2 linked regions of the Alligator mississippiensis genome follow. The protein of the gene in region 2 interacts with the protein of the main gene of each other region in a biochemical or structural test. Links are inferred from orthologs where the notes say so. Each region holds a gene or a part of one and is shown on either strand. Other genes may lie near its edges.

The links.
Region 1: the proteins of PTEN (region 2) and NHERF2 form a complex in vitro, tested with the Homo sapiens proteins (2 studies listed by BioGRID and IntAct, with this or other methods). The link is inferred for Alligator mississippiensis from reciprocal best matches to the Homo sapiens genes PTEN and NHERF2.

The regions. Positions count from the first base shown.
Region 1 is NC_081836.1:57,476,805-57,484,764, forward strand, and holds the start of NHERF2 (Na(+)/H(+) exchange regulatory cofactor NHE-RF2), read left to right. Parts: upstream 1-4,888; 5' UTR 4,889-4,905; coding exon 4,906-5,349; intron 5,350-7,960.
Region 2 is NC_081829.1:65,952,761-65,960,711, forward strand, and holds the start of PTEN (phosphatidylinositol 3,4,5-trisphosphate 3-phosphatase and dual-specificity protein phosphatase PTEN), read left to right. Parts: upstream 1-4,923; 5' UTR 4,924-5,405; coding exon 5,406-5,484; intron 5,485-7,951. UniProt on the Homo sapiens protein: Dual-specificity protein phosphatase, dephosphorylating tyrosine-, serine- and threonine-phosphorylated proteins.

The DNA.
Region 1 (7,960 bases), on a different chromosome or scaffold from region 2:
TTTTGTATCACTCAACAGTTTATGCAAAGAGGCAGAGACTGATTCTTCTGCAGAACTGCAGGCAGAGAGGAGTATCAAGGTCCAAAGCGAGCTGGCTCCTTCCAGAGATCCAGTACACTTCGCAGGTGAAAATCCTGGCTACAAACCCACAGCAAACCGAGCAATGATGGGCTGATACTGAAGCCTGGGATTTGAAGTCGTCTGCACTTACATCTTTTCAAGGTGATGACCTTATACAACTTCAAGCTGATAACATCAAATACTTACGGTGATTATGCACCAGCCATCGCACTGATCTGAATGATATTCACGGTCACGTTATCTCTTTGTAGGGCTACCACGCAACATTAAGATGAAGAAGAGATCTGTGTTGGCCATCTTGACCTAGAATAATAATGTGGTTTTCTCTTGGATAGCACGTGCCTACATACCTTCCAAATATCTAATCTAGTTGTATTGTGTCCAGCCCTACATCTCCTGAGTTGCTTTCATTATCTGCCATTTCAGTTAAAATATATATATATATTTTTTCCCTAAAATAGGATGTTTCAAACTACATTATTGTGTATTTTACTGCTGGCCTCAAACATGCTATCATGTTTGCATTAGCTCCAGAGGACTCTTTCGGGTAAGGGGATGGCGGAAAAATGCTGGAAAGCCAAAACAGAGACTCTGTAATATCCAGCACATGGGCAATGCCGAGACATGGCGGCTGCTCGGAGATTGACTGATCCTCCCTACCACTCGGTGAAATTCTTATCCCGTTCCTCCTCTGTGAAATTTGGGGTCATTTTTAACCCTTGGGAAATAGACCACTTTTAAGAAAATCAAGGGATCAGGGAGTCATCGGGGTGAACAAGGTCATGCATTTACTCAGCCGAGATTGAAACCCAACCCTTTAGCAAAACACGGGCACCATCTTGTAGAGACACGAGGGACCGAATCGGAGACCTCCAGAGTTGAACGGGAGTCTGGTTCTCCAGCTAAGAGCTGAAACCAAGTCCTGTTTTTTGTGGATGCTGCACGGAGCCAGGGCATGAACCGTCCCGACCAGCGGCTTGCAAATGGGCCAGAAGAGCAGCAAAGGCCACGTCGGGTACCGCAGAACCTGTCCCCTGTCTGCGGGAGGCTATGGCTCATTAACAGTGTAAGAGCGCTTGGGGAACTCTCCTATCATAGAGACAGAGAAATAAATAGACCCTGAGAAGCAAGTGCTCTTAATACAAAGCCATCTGGAACCTCCAGCCTGAGCAGTGGGCTACGGCTGCTTTCAAGACTTGAGTTTGTTCTCAGCACCATTTTGTTGAGACAGAAACCCCCCTATCAGCTCCCCAGGGCCTGAGGATGCCGTGTGGGAACTCACTGAAAGTAGGGCAGCTTTCCCTGAGCGAAGCTCAGTGGAAACAGCGCACACACCAACCACGGTGCAGCGTCTCATGAAGGGCAAATGCAGAGCTCCGACTTAACGGAGCAGGAGCCTCGTCCTGGAGGTGGTTGGGCAGGAGCCCTTAAGCAGCTGTCATCCCGTAAGTGCCATGAAAGTCAGCAGGAATTATAGAATCAGAGTCAATGAGGGCTGGAAGGGAGCTCAGGAGATCCCATCTAGTCCAACCCCCTGCTCAAAGCAGGACCAGCCCCAACTACATCATCCCTGCCAGGGCTTTGTCTATCTGCATCTTAAACACCTTCAAGGATGGAGAGTCCACCACTTCTCTGGGCAGCCTTCACCACCCTCCTAGTGAGAAATATCCAACCTCAACTTCCCTTGCTGCGGCTTGAGCCCATTGCTCCTTGTCCTGTCATCTGCCCCCACTGAGACCAGCCCAGCTCCATCCTCTTTGCAACCCCCCTGCAGGGAGCTAAAGGCTGCTATTTAATCCTCCTCGGTCTTCTCTTATGCAATGAGCCCATTTCCCTCAACCACCCCTCAGACGTTCCCCCATTCTTGTTTCAGGGGTGTAGGTTGTAGTCATGTTGGTCTAAGTGGCTCCCAATCTGTGGTACCCGTGCCCCCAGCGGTACGCAGACAACCTGTCAGTGGTACACATTAGCAGATGTATTATAATTACTGTATCTGACAGAAATGTGCTGGAGGTACTTAAAGGCTGAAATGAAAAAGGTGCTGGTGGTATGTAAGGGTGTGTTGTTTTCATTCGGCGGTGCGCAGTCTGTCGGAGTTTGGGAACTGCTGGTGTGAGGACACAGGCAGACCAGGTTCTTTGGGTAAATCCAGTATCTTTTATTAGAGCAACTCAGTTGGAAAAATTCTTCTTCACAAGCTTTCTTTCAGGCACAAACCCCCTTTGTCAGGTGTGTAGGTTGGTCTAAGGACACGGACAGACAAGGTTCTTTGGGTGCAGTTGGTATCTTTTATTAGACCAACTCAAAAATAGTTGGAAAAATTCTTCTTTGCAAGCTTTCAGGCACAACTTTTGGGTAAATCCCATATCTTTTATTAGCCCAACTCAAATAGTTGGAAAAAATTCTTCTTTGCAAGCTTTTGGGCACAAACACCCTTCATGAGGCTGAGGAAGCGTCTGCCTGACAAAGGCAGACAAGGTTCTTTGGGTAAATCTGATTTCTTCTATCAGACCAACTCAAATAGTTGGAAAAATTCTTCTTTGCAAGCTTTTAGGCACAAATACCCTTCATCAGGCTTGCTAAGAAGAATTTTTCCAACTATTTTTTTACTTGTTGTGATAGAAGACATCAGATTTACTTAAAGAACCTAGTCTGCCTTCATCAGGCAGACCCTTCCTCAGCCTCATGACCGGTGTTTGTGCCCGAAAGCATGCAAAGAAGATTTTTTTTCCCAACTACGTGATTTGGTCTGGTAGAGCAGTGTTTTAAGGGGCAAGTACCCCCTAACTTCTGAAAAGTTTAATAACTACCCCAACACTCAATTTTCCAGGGGATTTTATATTTACAGACTATGCGCCATATGTTGGAAGAAGGGCTGTGTATATAAGGCTGTGATATGACAGATGTCTGATCTGGTCTGGATAGGGTTGCCAACCTTTTACACCAGGGGTGCATAACTCAAGTACAGGCAGTCCTCGGACTTACGACACAACTGGTTCCTGAAAACCGCATCTTAAGTCGAAACGTTGCAGCTTGGAACTGATTTCCCCATAGGAAATAATGTTATAAATGGGGGATTGGTTCCTGAACCAAGGCCCGATACCCTATTTTCACCAAAAATACCCCAGAATTTTGTACTTGGTCAATTATAGATGAGTAATATAGCTACATTAATGTATTTCTATTGTAAATAGCAATCATATTGCTTTGGAAGGACTTCTTTGAGGAGACTTTGCTGGACTTTTTGAAGGGTTCTTGGCTGGAGTCTTCTCAGGAGTCTCGGCTGCAGGGTTTTCTGGAGTCCTGTCTGCTTTCTTAAAGAACGTGTCCAAGGAAGTTTGGACAGACGGTCTCCAGGGGGATGAACGGGTCGACCCGGCAACCTTGCTCGCTGGGGTCAGATCAAGCGTTGTAAGTCGAAACGGATGTCATAAAATGGAACAGGGTGTCCATTTATAAATGTTGTCAGTGGGAAACATTGTAACCCAAAGTGTTGCAAGTCAAGGACTGTCTGTATACCTGGGCTAGAGGCGATGCTGCCCAAAGCTAGGAGGCCTGAACGCCAAATTATTACTGGGTAATTTTTTGTCATGGGGAAAAGAGGGCACGAGTGACAGGGAAAGAGGGCAAAGGAGACAACGGCAGGGTGGGGGTATGCGTACCACGGGTTTAGAAACAATGTGCTAGAAGACACGGGATTCACCCAAAGAGCCTCGTGTGCCCACTCTTGTTTAATACCCCCATACCCTGCTCACCCCCTTGCCCCCACCCTCCGCCTCTGCTGCCCCCGGGGACAGCCCCCAGGTGCAGCGCGGTGCCAGCCAGGGGGATGCAATGCAATGCAATGCAATGCAATGCGTGGCGGCTCGCCCAGGCCGGGGGGGTGAAGCCCGCAGGTGCGGGGAATGGGATGCAATGCAATGCAATGCGTGGCGGCTCGCCCAGGCCCGGGGGGTGAAGCCCGCAGGTGCGGGGAATGGGATGCAATGCAATGCGTGGCGGCTCGCCCAGGCCGGGGGGTGAAGCCCGCAGGTGAGGGGAATGGGATGCAATGCAATGCAATGCAATGCGTGGCGGCTCGCCCAGGCCGGGGGGTGAAGCCCGCAGGTGCGGGGAATGGGATGCAATGCAATGCAATGCGTGGCGGCTCGCCCAGGCCCGGGGGGGGTGAAGCCCGCAGGTGCGGGGAATGGGATGCAATGCAATGCGTGGCGGCTCGCCCAGGCCGGGGGGTGAAGCCCGCAGGTGCGGGGAATGGGATGCAATGCAATGCAATGCAATGCGTGGCGGCTCGCCCAGGCCGGGGGGTGAAGCCCGCAGGTGCGGGGAATGGGATGCAATGCAATGCAATGCGTGGCGGCTCGCCCAGGCCCGGGGGGTGAAGCCCGCAGGTGCGGGGAATGGGATGCAATGCAATGCGTGGCGGCTCGCCCAGGCCGGGGGGTGAAGCCCGCAGGTGCGGGGAATGGGATGCAATGCAATGCAATGCAATGCGTGGCGGCTCGCCCAGGCCCGGGGGTGAAGCCCGCAGGTGCGGGGGATGGGATGCAATGCAATGCGTGGCGGCTCGCCCAGGCCCGGGGGTGAGGCCCGCAGGTGCGGGGAATGGGATGCAATGCAATGCAATGCAATGCAATGCAATGCAATGCAATGCAATGCAATGCGTGGCGGCTCGCCCAGGCCCGGGGGTGAAGCCCGCAGGTGCGGGGGATGGGATGCAATGCAATGCGTGGCGGCTCGCCCAGGCCCGGGGGTGAAGCCCGCAGGTGCGGGGCGGTGCGGGGCCCGGCTCCCCCTCCGCAGCTCTGGAAGGTTCCCGTTCGCATGAGGGGGAGGCGCAAAGCCGGCTCGGCCCCCGGCGCCGCTCCGCTGCAATGTCACTCGGCGCCGGCGGCCGCGGGGAGGAGGCGGCGCTGCAGCCGGAGCCGGAGCCGGAGCCGGAGCCGGGCAGCAGCAGCGGCGGCGGCGGTGGTGGTGGTGGCATGGCCCCATCTGCAGCCTCCCGCGCCTAGGCGGGATCGGGATCGGGGTCGGGGTCGGGGTCGGGGCGGCGGAGCCATGGCCAAGGACCAGCTGAAGCCGCGGCTGTGCCACATGCTGAAGGGCGAGCAGGGCTACGGCTTCCACCTGCACGGCGAGAAGGGCAAGAGCGGCCAGTTCATCCGCAAAGTGGAGCCCGGCTCCCCGGCCGAGGCGGCGGCGCTGCGGGCCGGGGACCGCGTCGTGGAGGTCAACGGCGTCAACGTGGACAAGGAGACGCATCACCAGGTGCGGCCCCGGCCCCCGCCCCGGCCCGCACGGGTCTCAGGGCAGCACCCGGACCCAGCCCCGACGTCCCGGGGTCCTCCCAGCCGCCCCTGCCTGCTCACGGACATACCCTGCGGGGCCAGGGCCAGGAGGAGCTGGACTAGAGGTCCAGACAACTGCCCTAAAACCCTGGGGTCCTCCCAGCCAGCCCCCTGCCCGCTCACGTAGATGCCCCGCTGGGCTAGGGCCAGGAAGAGCTGGACAGGAGGTCCGGAGAATTGCACCACAGTCCTGGGGTCCTCCGAACCAGCCCCCTTCCTGCTCACATAGATGCCCCGCTGGGTTAGGGCTAGGAGGAGCTGGACAGGAGGTCCGGAGAATTGCACCACAGTCCTGGGGTCCTCCGAACCAGCTCACATTGATGCCTGGCTGGGCTACGGCCAGGAGGAGCCGGCCAGCAAGTCCCGGGACTTGGTGGGGAGGGCATCAAGGAAGAGGTGCAGGGAGCCTCAGCAGGAGGGTTAGGATGAGGAGACAGGGTGGTTTCTGGCTCTGTTTTTGCGACCGTGGGGCTCCCTGCCTAGCGGGGCAAACCCCTGACCTTTGCAGGGGGCTGGGGAAAGGCTAGGCAAATGTTCAGATGAGGTTCTTTGGGTCAGTCCGAGCTCTTTTATTAGATCAGCTCAAATAGTTGGAAAAAATGTACCGCCCCCGAGGCAAATGTTCGGCGCTTGTTACTAGGGTAAAATGGGGATTTCTGTTGATTGCAGATTGAACTGGACACATAACGGTGGGGACGAGATCTCTTGCTGGCTCGGTGCTGAGCAGTTCTGTGTGGCTATCTGTTTAGGGCAGTAGGGGCTTGAATATATTCGTAGCTTAAAGTATATGGCAGGGACCCCCTGGAAGCGTGCTGCATTTGTCAGGTATTGGTCTGTCTCCTGCATGCTTCAGGGACCGCCCGGGATGACTGGGATAGTGGGCTTCGGTGATGAATTGCTGCTAGTGGGTCCTAGAGGCATGGGTGCTTGATGATCAACTCATTGGCGCAGTGATCTCTCCAGCCAGGGTGCCAGCTGTGAGGTCCTTTTAAGGGTGGCACACAGCGTGGTGCAATATTAGGGGTGCAGACAGCTATGCATGATTCACAAGGTAAACCCAGAGATTTTAAGTAATATCAAAAACGTCCTGCCCTGGTGTGGGCTTTTTTTTTTTTTTTTGCAACTTTTTTTTGGTGGTCAAGAAACAAGTGAAAGCTAAGAGCTGGCATTTTCGGAGGGCCAGGAGTGCCCAGAGTCCAGCAAGGGGCCCTGAGTATAAGGTTGAAAACCGGTGCAGGGCGTTGGAGCAGTTTGTGGTCTCGGTAGTGCTGCAATATGGAGTTGAGCTTGCTGACACCCACACTGGATTTGGCTCTTATTGTTTGTTCATTAGTAAAACAGACCCAGGCGAGCCGAGCACCCTCTGCAAAAGTGAACACGAGCCCTTTCGTTCTGATTTGGAATCGAGTCAGGCTCCATCTCTTCCTCTCTTCTAATTGCTGGGAGGAAAAGGGAGCTCCTGTTACATATGGAGCTGCATTTCCCATCGGAGAAGTGTCAGGGCTCTTCGTATGAAAATCTGATGGGGTGATGATGGGTGATTTAACGTGTCTGAAATGTGTGGGCTTTCTAGTTGCGTGGCGTAAGTGAAACGAGGGGCCTGTCATCTTCTCCATGTTTCCTTCTCCTTGCAAATAGCCCAGCAGATTTCAAAATATTCAGTGTTTCGACAAATAAAGTTAGCATTTGGGATCTCAGCAGGTAGGATGACGTCATGAGGCTGGCAATCCTTATGCTTGAGGACAAAATGCCCAATATTTTCTGGTGCTCCTTGCCCTAAGTGATACCAGGGTGCCGGAATAAAGGGCAATACCAGGGTATTGGACTCCACGGGTTTTCCCATTCTCTTCAGCACAGTGGCCTTTGAGCTAATAACCCTTTTACCTCTAGCACTGAAATGACCCGTAGCAAAGATCCTTAGTCTGTTCACGGTTGTTGCAAGCTCGGGAAGTTGACGTTTTTGGACATTTTCATGGTGTTTGTTTGTTTCCCTGACTTCTGGTTTGTTTTTTTTTCCTCCTAAATGCAAACAAGCTGCAAAGCTAAATGTGGAAGGTCTGTTCAAGGCACCACGCTCCTATCTTGGCATCCTCCTCCTCAGTATTTGTGACTAGGCAGGAAAATGAATGTGTGCTGGTTAACGCTGCACAACTATAAGGCCGCTGCCTAAACCACCCTTGATGAGAGCTATAACTATGGGGAAAAATCCATTTTACAATTGGCTGGGCTGAAGCATAATTTACGGGCAGAAAGTGGCCTTTACTAATGTGGGAGAATCGCTCAGCTTTGGTTCTCTTTGCTTAGCAATGGAAGTGCTTTTGTTGCAGAGCTGGTGCAGTTACTTCTGTTCTGTCTTCCTTCGGCTGCGTCCACATTTCGGGGGAAAGGTGTGTTTCTTTATGTGCAGTATTGGCTAGCCCAGGTTAAAGTCCTAGCGTGGACAAGGCAGGTTGCAGTTGTAACACTCCTCTACCATTTAACCCTGGGTGACCTCTTCCCTGCTTATCTAGTGCAGTTCAGATCCCCAGATG
Region 2 (7,951 bases):
CTCCATTTTATTTCATGAGCACATATACCATCTGATGTTACCCAGCTTCCCAAGTAGTTTAATTTATTGACTGCCTTATCTGTTCCTTATCCACTTTGATGTTGCATACTGGAATGATCTTTGTAATTACCATGCATATTGTTTTGCTATAGTTAATACCTAGACCCTTCTTTTCGCTTTTGCTCACAATTTTATTTAACAATTTGAGATAAAATTGCTAGGTTCGATAAAATGTGTGTGTATAGGTATCTATTGAACACAATGTTTTATTGATATATTTACAGTTTAAAGCAATTTGGAAGCCTACCAGTGCCTCAGAAGTATAATAAAATAAATTCTAAATACCTATATATTTTGTCATTTGATTTGGGTTTTTTTATCATAGAATACCAGAGCTCCCCCCTACCCCCTTTGCTCACCAGGGCATGGGTCCAGCTGCACCTGCCCCCTCCCTCCCTGCTTCATGGTGCTGAGCAGCCCTGATATGTCCCTGCCAACGCTTTTGCCCCTCATTTCCAACCCACAGCCCTGCCACCTCAGCCCTGTTGGTGCCTCTCACTCCTAACCCACACTCCCCCATTTAGCAGCTTACCTGCTGTTGTCTGTAACTGTTATCTTCAACAGTTCTGTTGTTGCATGGGTTTTGTTTTATTTTATCAGTGTATTAAACTAGCCTCTCCAAGATAGAGCTGCATAACTCCACTTTGTCACTACCTGTATTTTCTCATACACTGGAAAGGGAGGGTTGTTCTAATGACTAAAACACCTGCTGACTTAGAATTGTATTTCATTAGGCTATGAAGAGACAGGTTGTATATAACAAAAATCATGCTTTTATTTTTTAACATTATTAAAAGCATCCCTTGTACATCTGAGAGACTGGACTGTCCTCCCATCCTCTTTACACTTAAGATGAGCCCATCTTAAGACATGCAGATACTCCTTTGGCTATTGGGTTACAAAGGGTTTTTGTACTGCTGCTCCATGATTCATAAGAGTGTCGTTCTCCCTACCTTCTCCAGTATGTCTGCCCTGCTTTAACCTTATTATTTAGCTCAAGAATTTGACACAGGATTTGTCTTGGAATTCATTCCACTGACCATAATAGGATTTGGATTTATTGATGTACATGAGCTACCCAGTTTAATAAATCAGATTAAGATGACTCACGGATTCTACCACCAAATCCATGCACTGAAATGTGTACAAGTTCTTAAAAAAAATGGGAGAACCAAAGTAGGTACTGGACCTTTCAGTTTAATTTGGTTGCATCTGCAAGGTGAATACTACCTACCTAAAAAAAACCCTGTAAATAGCTAGTTCAATATAGCTATAGTTCATTCAGAGCTATTACATTATCACTTCATATTTTCTGTACAATTTTTATATTTTTTTACAGAATAAAAATATATTTTACCAGAAATGTAATCTAAAATATGTATATTGATTTACATAAGGCTATTATTTGTTCACAGCTCCTTCAAACTTCAATGTTAAAAGAGCTATAGTCCTCTTAACCATATTTTTCCTATTCCTTTTTTAAAAAGCTCACACGCCATTCATTGTCTACACACATTTCAAAAAATTATCTGTAATACTGAGTGTTTCATTACTAGTTTATTCTTTCTTAAAAGAGTATTTGAATTAGCCATGTTTCAGGAAAATGTTTTTCCCTGGTCCTGTATTCCCTTCCACTGAACAAAATTAAGTGTTTTATGCGATTAAAAATAAAACACTAGGAAGCACACTTCAAAAATAATCAACATAATTATTTGACTACTTTGGCACCAACTTTAAAAAAAATCTGTAGATGAAAAATATTTCAGGGCAAATAAAGGGAAAGGTTAGTATTTTTCATAAGCCAATAGATGTCAGTTCCAAGCTAAGGATATTTCCATTTTATATCATGCAAAATAAAAAAAACTGGGTAATTTGTTGATTTTTATGCTATAAGCTAAAGACTAGCTTTTGTACAAATATATGTTAACAAAAAATATGGATCAGTGTCTAAAGTCAAATCTTCTGGTTACACTCCAGTATTGTAAACATGAATGTATGCAGTGTTGTTTCTCAAGAAGAGAAAGAAAGAAAGAAATCAAAGTTGTATCCTAAAGGATTAGGTTACCTATTTTTCATATGTGCTGATGCCCCAGACCTGGGTCTTCCTTTCCCATTGGTTTCATCCTTTCAGGAAGGTCTTCATCTGATTTTGTTTTTCAGGTTCAGTGGAGTCCTCATGGACTCTTTACTCTTTGTGTTTGTGTCATAGATTTGAGGAGATATTTGTTGGTTTGTTTGTTTTTTGGGGGGCTTTTTCAAGAGAGGGAGTATGTCCCCACTTTTATTTGAGGAATGTCTCAAGCTGATTGTTTTCCATGCATGAGAAACCTGTGAAATGACATATTTTAAGAAGTAATTACAATGTTTAAGGGGGTGCTGTTTTCAAGCATATCCATAGAATATCCTGAAAAACGTACTTTGTTTCAGAGTTAGGAAATTTTAACACAAGCTAATATTTCACTGCTATACTCAAAAAACAAAGAACACCTGATAACTGAAATCAGTGGGCTTTTCTACTCAAAAATCATGTCTTGATATTTGTAAGATGATGAGAGAATCTCTGCTTCACAACTCTTGAGCTTGGTGAATTGTATCTCCCCTTATGCTGGAAGCTTCAGAACAGAAGAAGAAATTTTGATACGGTATTTTTCAAGAAAAGCAGAGAGGCAATTTTCCAAAACAAGTGAAGAACATTTGGCTTCAGAGGGAAAGCAGAAGACAGAGACATTTATCAGGATAGGTAATTCCATCCTTCCTCCTTCCATGTTCAATATTGATGCATCTAGCAGAACTGAGAACTCAATGCATAACCTGTAAAGCAGGTTTCTTTTCAAAGGCTTCTTATTTAGGAGTGTGGTGGGAATGATACCAGAATGAGAGAAGTACAAGAAGTGTGTTGAGTAGGGAGTGGAGAGAGAGAAATAGGTAGCTGGGTAAATGGCAGTCACAAAAGTAGAACTGCATTGTGGGAGATACATATAGCTGTACTGTAGCTATGTTTATTTTAGGCTAGCAGTAAGACTTTAGTCCTACTTTCTGTTTTGCCTGTTGGGTTACAAAACTTTCTATGGTACTGCTCCATGATTCATTTGCTTTTATTTGTGGGGGACTCCCTTGGGACCACGCAGCAGGTGCTTAGTAGGGGGAGCAGGCTCTATCCACACAGTAGATGTGACTTCAGAAAATCCAGATTATTTTATTGGAATGACAATAGATACAAATATTGTCAAAACATTAAAGAAAAACAGACAATTCTCTCTCCATCAGGGCAGATAGATTATTCTGATGATGTAATCTCATGCTCACTTGCTACATTTGTTCATTTCTGTATAGTGTTCCCTTGTTACCATTCGATGACATCAGCAGACATTTATGACTGAGAAAATCTCTCATTGCCCCCACTAACCTGAAAGAGGAATAAAAACTCCATTTCAAATCTTTCACTGTCGTGTTGGCCACCTAATCCTTCCATTCAATTTGTATGCCTTCCCTCTTCTACTTAGGGATTATCATGCATTTGGGAAGTCACACTTCACTTCTGCATTTTACTGCATGGGGGGGGCACCCCCATCATGGTTATGCTGCTCTCCTGCTGATGGAGGCTTGCCCTTGTATTCTTCCCAGTGCTTGAAATAATCAGGCCCTTGGGCGTTGGGCTGGTGTTGTTAGCATTGGATGTAGGCCTTGTGTGACCAAAGGTACAGGAACAGAGTACGCTGGTAACCCTGAATTTTTTTTCAGTGACTGCAGCTACTCTCTGACCGAGGGGGTTTCTTGATCACAGGCAACAGGTGGCGCCACAACCCGCGTCGCAGGCGGCTCGCCCGCGGGAGGACAGTTCTCCCGCTTGGCAGCAGCTTTCAGAAATTTCATTCCACATTTTCACCGAGGTGCAGCGGGGCCCGGAGGCAGCCTGGCTCTTCGGCTCTGACCGGCGGGGAGGCAGGAGTTCACCTTCCTCCTGGCTGCAGATGAGGCAGGAGTGGGCCCTTGTTGTCCCACAGCCCAGCTGCCGCTTCTGCCACATCCAAGCCTCCTCCTGGAGCCCGAAAAGCCGCACCGAGGCGCGTAGGGCTGGGCAGAGGCACTTGTGTTTCGCTGGGGGAAGCCACGGGGAGCAATTCCGGGTGCTGCTGCCTGTGGCCACCGGCGCCCCCGCGCCGAAGAGCTTCCCCAAGAAGTTGCCCCAAGCGGCCTCCTCAGCCCCGGGACCAGCGGGCCGGCGGATCCCGCTGCCTCCCTCACAACTCCCCCTGCACGGGGCGCGCGCCACAACCCGCACCGCCCCGCGAGCCACCTCCTGCGGCCCCGGGCCAGGGCCGAGCTCCCCCCCAGTCGGGGGAGGGGGCCCGCAGCGGGCAGGGGGGACCACGTGACCCGAGAAAGTAGTTCCGAGTTGGCAGCGAGAGTATCCCTCCGCCGGCCTGCGGCCTGCTCCTGTGACCCCCAACACTCCCCTCAGGAGAACTCTCTATCCTTGCCCCGCAGCGCCCCAGCCCCACGGCGTAGGGGCCCGCAGCGAGCAGCGGGGCAGGGGGGGCGGCGCGTCGTGGGGGCGGGCGGCCGCGGAGCGATGATGTGGCGGGACTACTTTGCGGCGGAGGGGGCGGGGGCGGTGCCAGTGGAGCGAAGCTGTTCGGCGGCCGGTCCCTCCGCGGCGCAGCAGCCATGATGGAGGCTTGAGGCGCTCGGAGCTGCCGCGCGCGGGGAGGCCGCAACCATGAGACGGGCCCGGCTGGGGCCCCGCGCGCAGCCCAGGTCTTGAGCGCGCTGCTTTGCGTCTCCCACCGACCCCGCGCGGGGCTCGGTCGCCTGTCGCCCGCCCCCCGCCCGCCGGTGCGCGGCCCTGAGCGCGGGGCCGCCGCCGCCCCGGGCGGGAGCGGGGCCCGGCCGCTGTCACCATTTCTGGGGCGCGGAGCGCTGGAGGGCGCCTCTCCCCGCCTCCGCCTCACTCGCCTCAAAGACGGCGGCGGCGGCGGCGCAGCCCGGGACTCGGCCGCACGCTGAACCCCTCCGCGGCCGCCGCCGCCGCCCCGGGCCCGGCCCCCGCTCCCGCTCCGCCCGGGGCCGCGCGGGGAGGGGGCAGCAGCCGCCGCCGCCGGGAGCCGCAGCAGCAGCAGCAGGGGGAGGGGGGCCCGCCGCTGCCCCGGGGCCCGGCCGCCTGCGGGCCTCGGGCTGAGCCGCGCGGGCCGCCCCCCCGCTCCGCCGTCCAGAGCCCCGCGGCCGCCGCCGCCCCGAGGTTCGGGGGAGCCGCCTCGGCCCAGCCCCGAGCCCTGTGCGCCCTGCCGCCGCCGCCGCTGCCCTGCCTGCCCGCGCGGCTCCTCGGCGGCCCCCGGCTCCCAGACATGACCGCCATCATCAAAGAGATCGTCAGCAGGAACAAAAGGCGATACCAGGAGGATGGCTTCGACTTGGACCTGACCTGTATCCTGCAGCGGGCTCCTGCCCCCCGGCGCTGCCCGGGCCCGAGCGCGCTGGAGTGCCGACTCCGCGGCCCTTCCCGCCGGGGCCTCGCGCTGACACGGAGCCGGCCCGGCCAAGCCTGCCCCTCCTCGCCTGCCGGGGCCTCTGCGCCCGGGACCGCGCTTGGTCTTTGTGGTGGGGGTGCGGTGCGGTGTGGGGAGCACGGGCTCCTGTGGGACTGAGCAGGGGGGTCTGGGCCTGCCGCGCTGCTGGTCCCGTGCGGGAGAAAACGGGCTGAGAAGTCCTTTGATCCCTGACAGTCATGTCAGGCAGGTTAACGGGGCTTATGTGCAGTAATGGCGATTGCAAAAGATTAACATTAGCGCTCATTTGGAATTGGAGTCTTCTTGCCTGGCCTGCACTGGCACTTACCTTATTTTGGTGTCATGCCTCACTGACACTCCCAGATAATGACTTCGGTGCCCATGCTCAAAGTAATCTTCTGCCTCTCCTTAACTTGTTGGTTGGGTTTAGTTCAGATAGAAGGGGGTTGATTTTTTTTTTTTTAACTGAGCTGTGTACTGTCTTAATTTGGTATCTTAGCTTCTTGAATCAGAAATACCTTTAGCAGATGCATAGCCTTACTTAGTGTTAGTTTGTGTGTGTAAATGGATAGCAAATGGATCCCTTTGATCACATTTCTATTAGTTAAACCTGAGGTTTAACTAAAGATCATAGATGCTTGTGTCCAAATACAAGAAAATAAGCAAATACATTTATCCTTTTAATTTAAAAACAAACTTCAGTGAAAGCTAACATTCTGTAGCCATTGAACTTTACTTCATACTGATCGTTCCTGTAGGTATGAGGCCCCTGTCTTTTTTGCAAATGAGAATAATTAGGTTCTTGTTAACTGAAGCATTGTTTTGGATATATGAAACTGTGAAGAAGAGTTTTTTGCAATATTGGTATGCCATTGGGACTAACCAGTGAAACCATAAAGCGCTAGAACCATATAGTTCTTTTGGCCTGTTAAAGGGATGCATTATGAAAGCATCAGACAGATGTTAGGCTGCCAACATCGTGAAAGGATCTGTCATTTTTCCATCAGAAGTGGAGGTGGTTGCAGATGCTATAGGTTGAACCCACTTTTCACTTTTATCTGTTCTTTAAAATAAAACATCCTTAATGCAAGGATTAGAATTGTAAACATTGAAAATTAGGTTAAGGACCAGAAGTTTAGCTAGTAGTGCTGAATGAGAATATGTTCTGCCTCACAACAAGGACAAGCTGCTTACCGTTTTCTCGGAACATGAGAGAATTAAGTCACAGTTGCAACTACAAATGCGCTTGAGTTCTTGGATATACAGATAGCTAACTGAAAGATTGAATTTGTAATGTTACGTTGATTTAGGACTCAGTCTAAAATGTTGAATACTTAACAGATAAGTGTATTGGCATTGGCAGATGACCCTTAAGGATGTACCTTCCTGATTTTTATTTTATTCTATGAACATATTGACCAAATAATGCTTTATTGTCATTTTAGAGCTGTTTTAAATTCTTCAAAATCTATATTTTGATGACATAACTTGAATAGTAGTAGAAGACTGCATCATCATGCTATAGGTTAGTAGAACATCTGCAGTAATAATATCTGCTCAAACAATATAGCATAAACATCCATGTAATAATATGCCTTATAGCCTAATTCTGTAATTTTGAAAGTTAAGGGTGGGAAGAGAGTAGGGAGGAAAAAAAACTAGGAGCAAGAAAAGAAACCAAATTTTATGCATCTCACTTTTAAAATTTGTCCTTAAAAAGTCTTTTTCAAAGGTGTAATGAGAGTATCTGACAAAACAGAACTTGCATTTATTTATCTATGAATCTAGGTATACTTATTTTTTGTTTCTTGGCAAGGAAATTGTGGGCTATTAATGATTTTGCCTCTTACTTAGCTCAGCATTTGAATGGCATCTTCAGCATTGTTACAGAATTTGTGTGCTCACCCAGAAAAAACCATAAATCTGTTTTTGGGGTTTAAATTGTAAAATGATTTCAATTAAACTTTATTTAGTTACTGTACTTGTAATGAATTAAGTACAGTAGACTTGTACTTTTTAAAAACTACTTTGCAAAGTATTTTTAAAAATGCTTTGCTGAGGAGTTGGTTTTCAATATTAAACGTCATTTTCCTTGTATGTATGTTATTGCAGATTCTGAGCAGTTACTTTATGAAGGAAGAATGCTGTATGTGCCAAATAGCAAAATGTAATTGGATGTACTAGAAAATTAAACCAAGAAAATTGAGGGGTTTTTCTTTATTCTGTAAAACCTAAAGAAGGAAGCCCTTTACAGTTTTTAATGGGATAACTACTCATTATCTAACATCTGGAAGGTATTAAATTGTGCTCTTTTTAGGTAGCTTAACCACTCTTTTCGTGTGTTACTTGTGCACTAAATTCTAAATTAAGTTCCCTGTCATTCC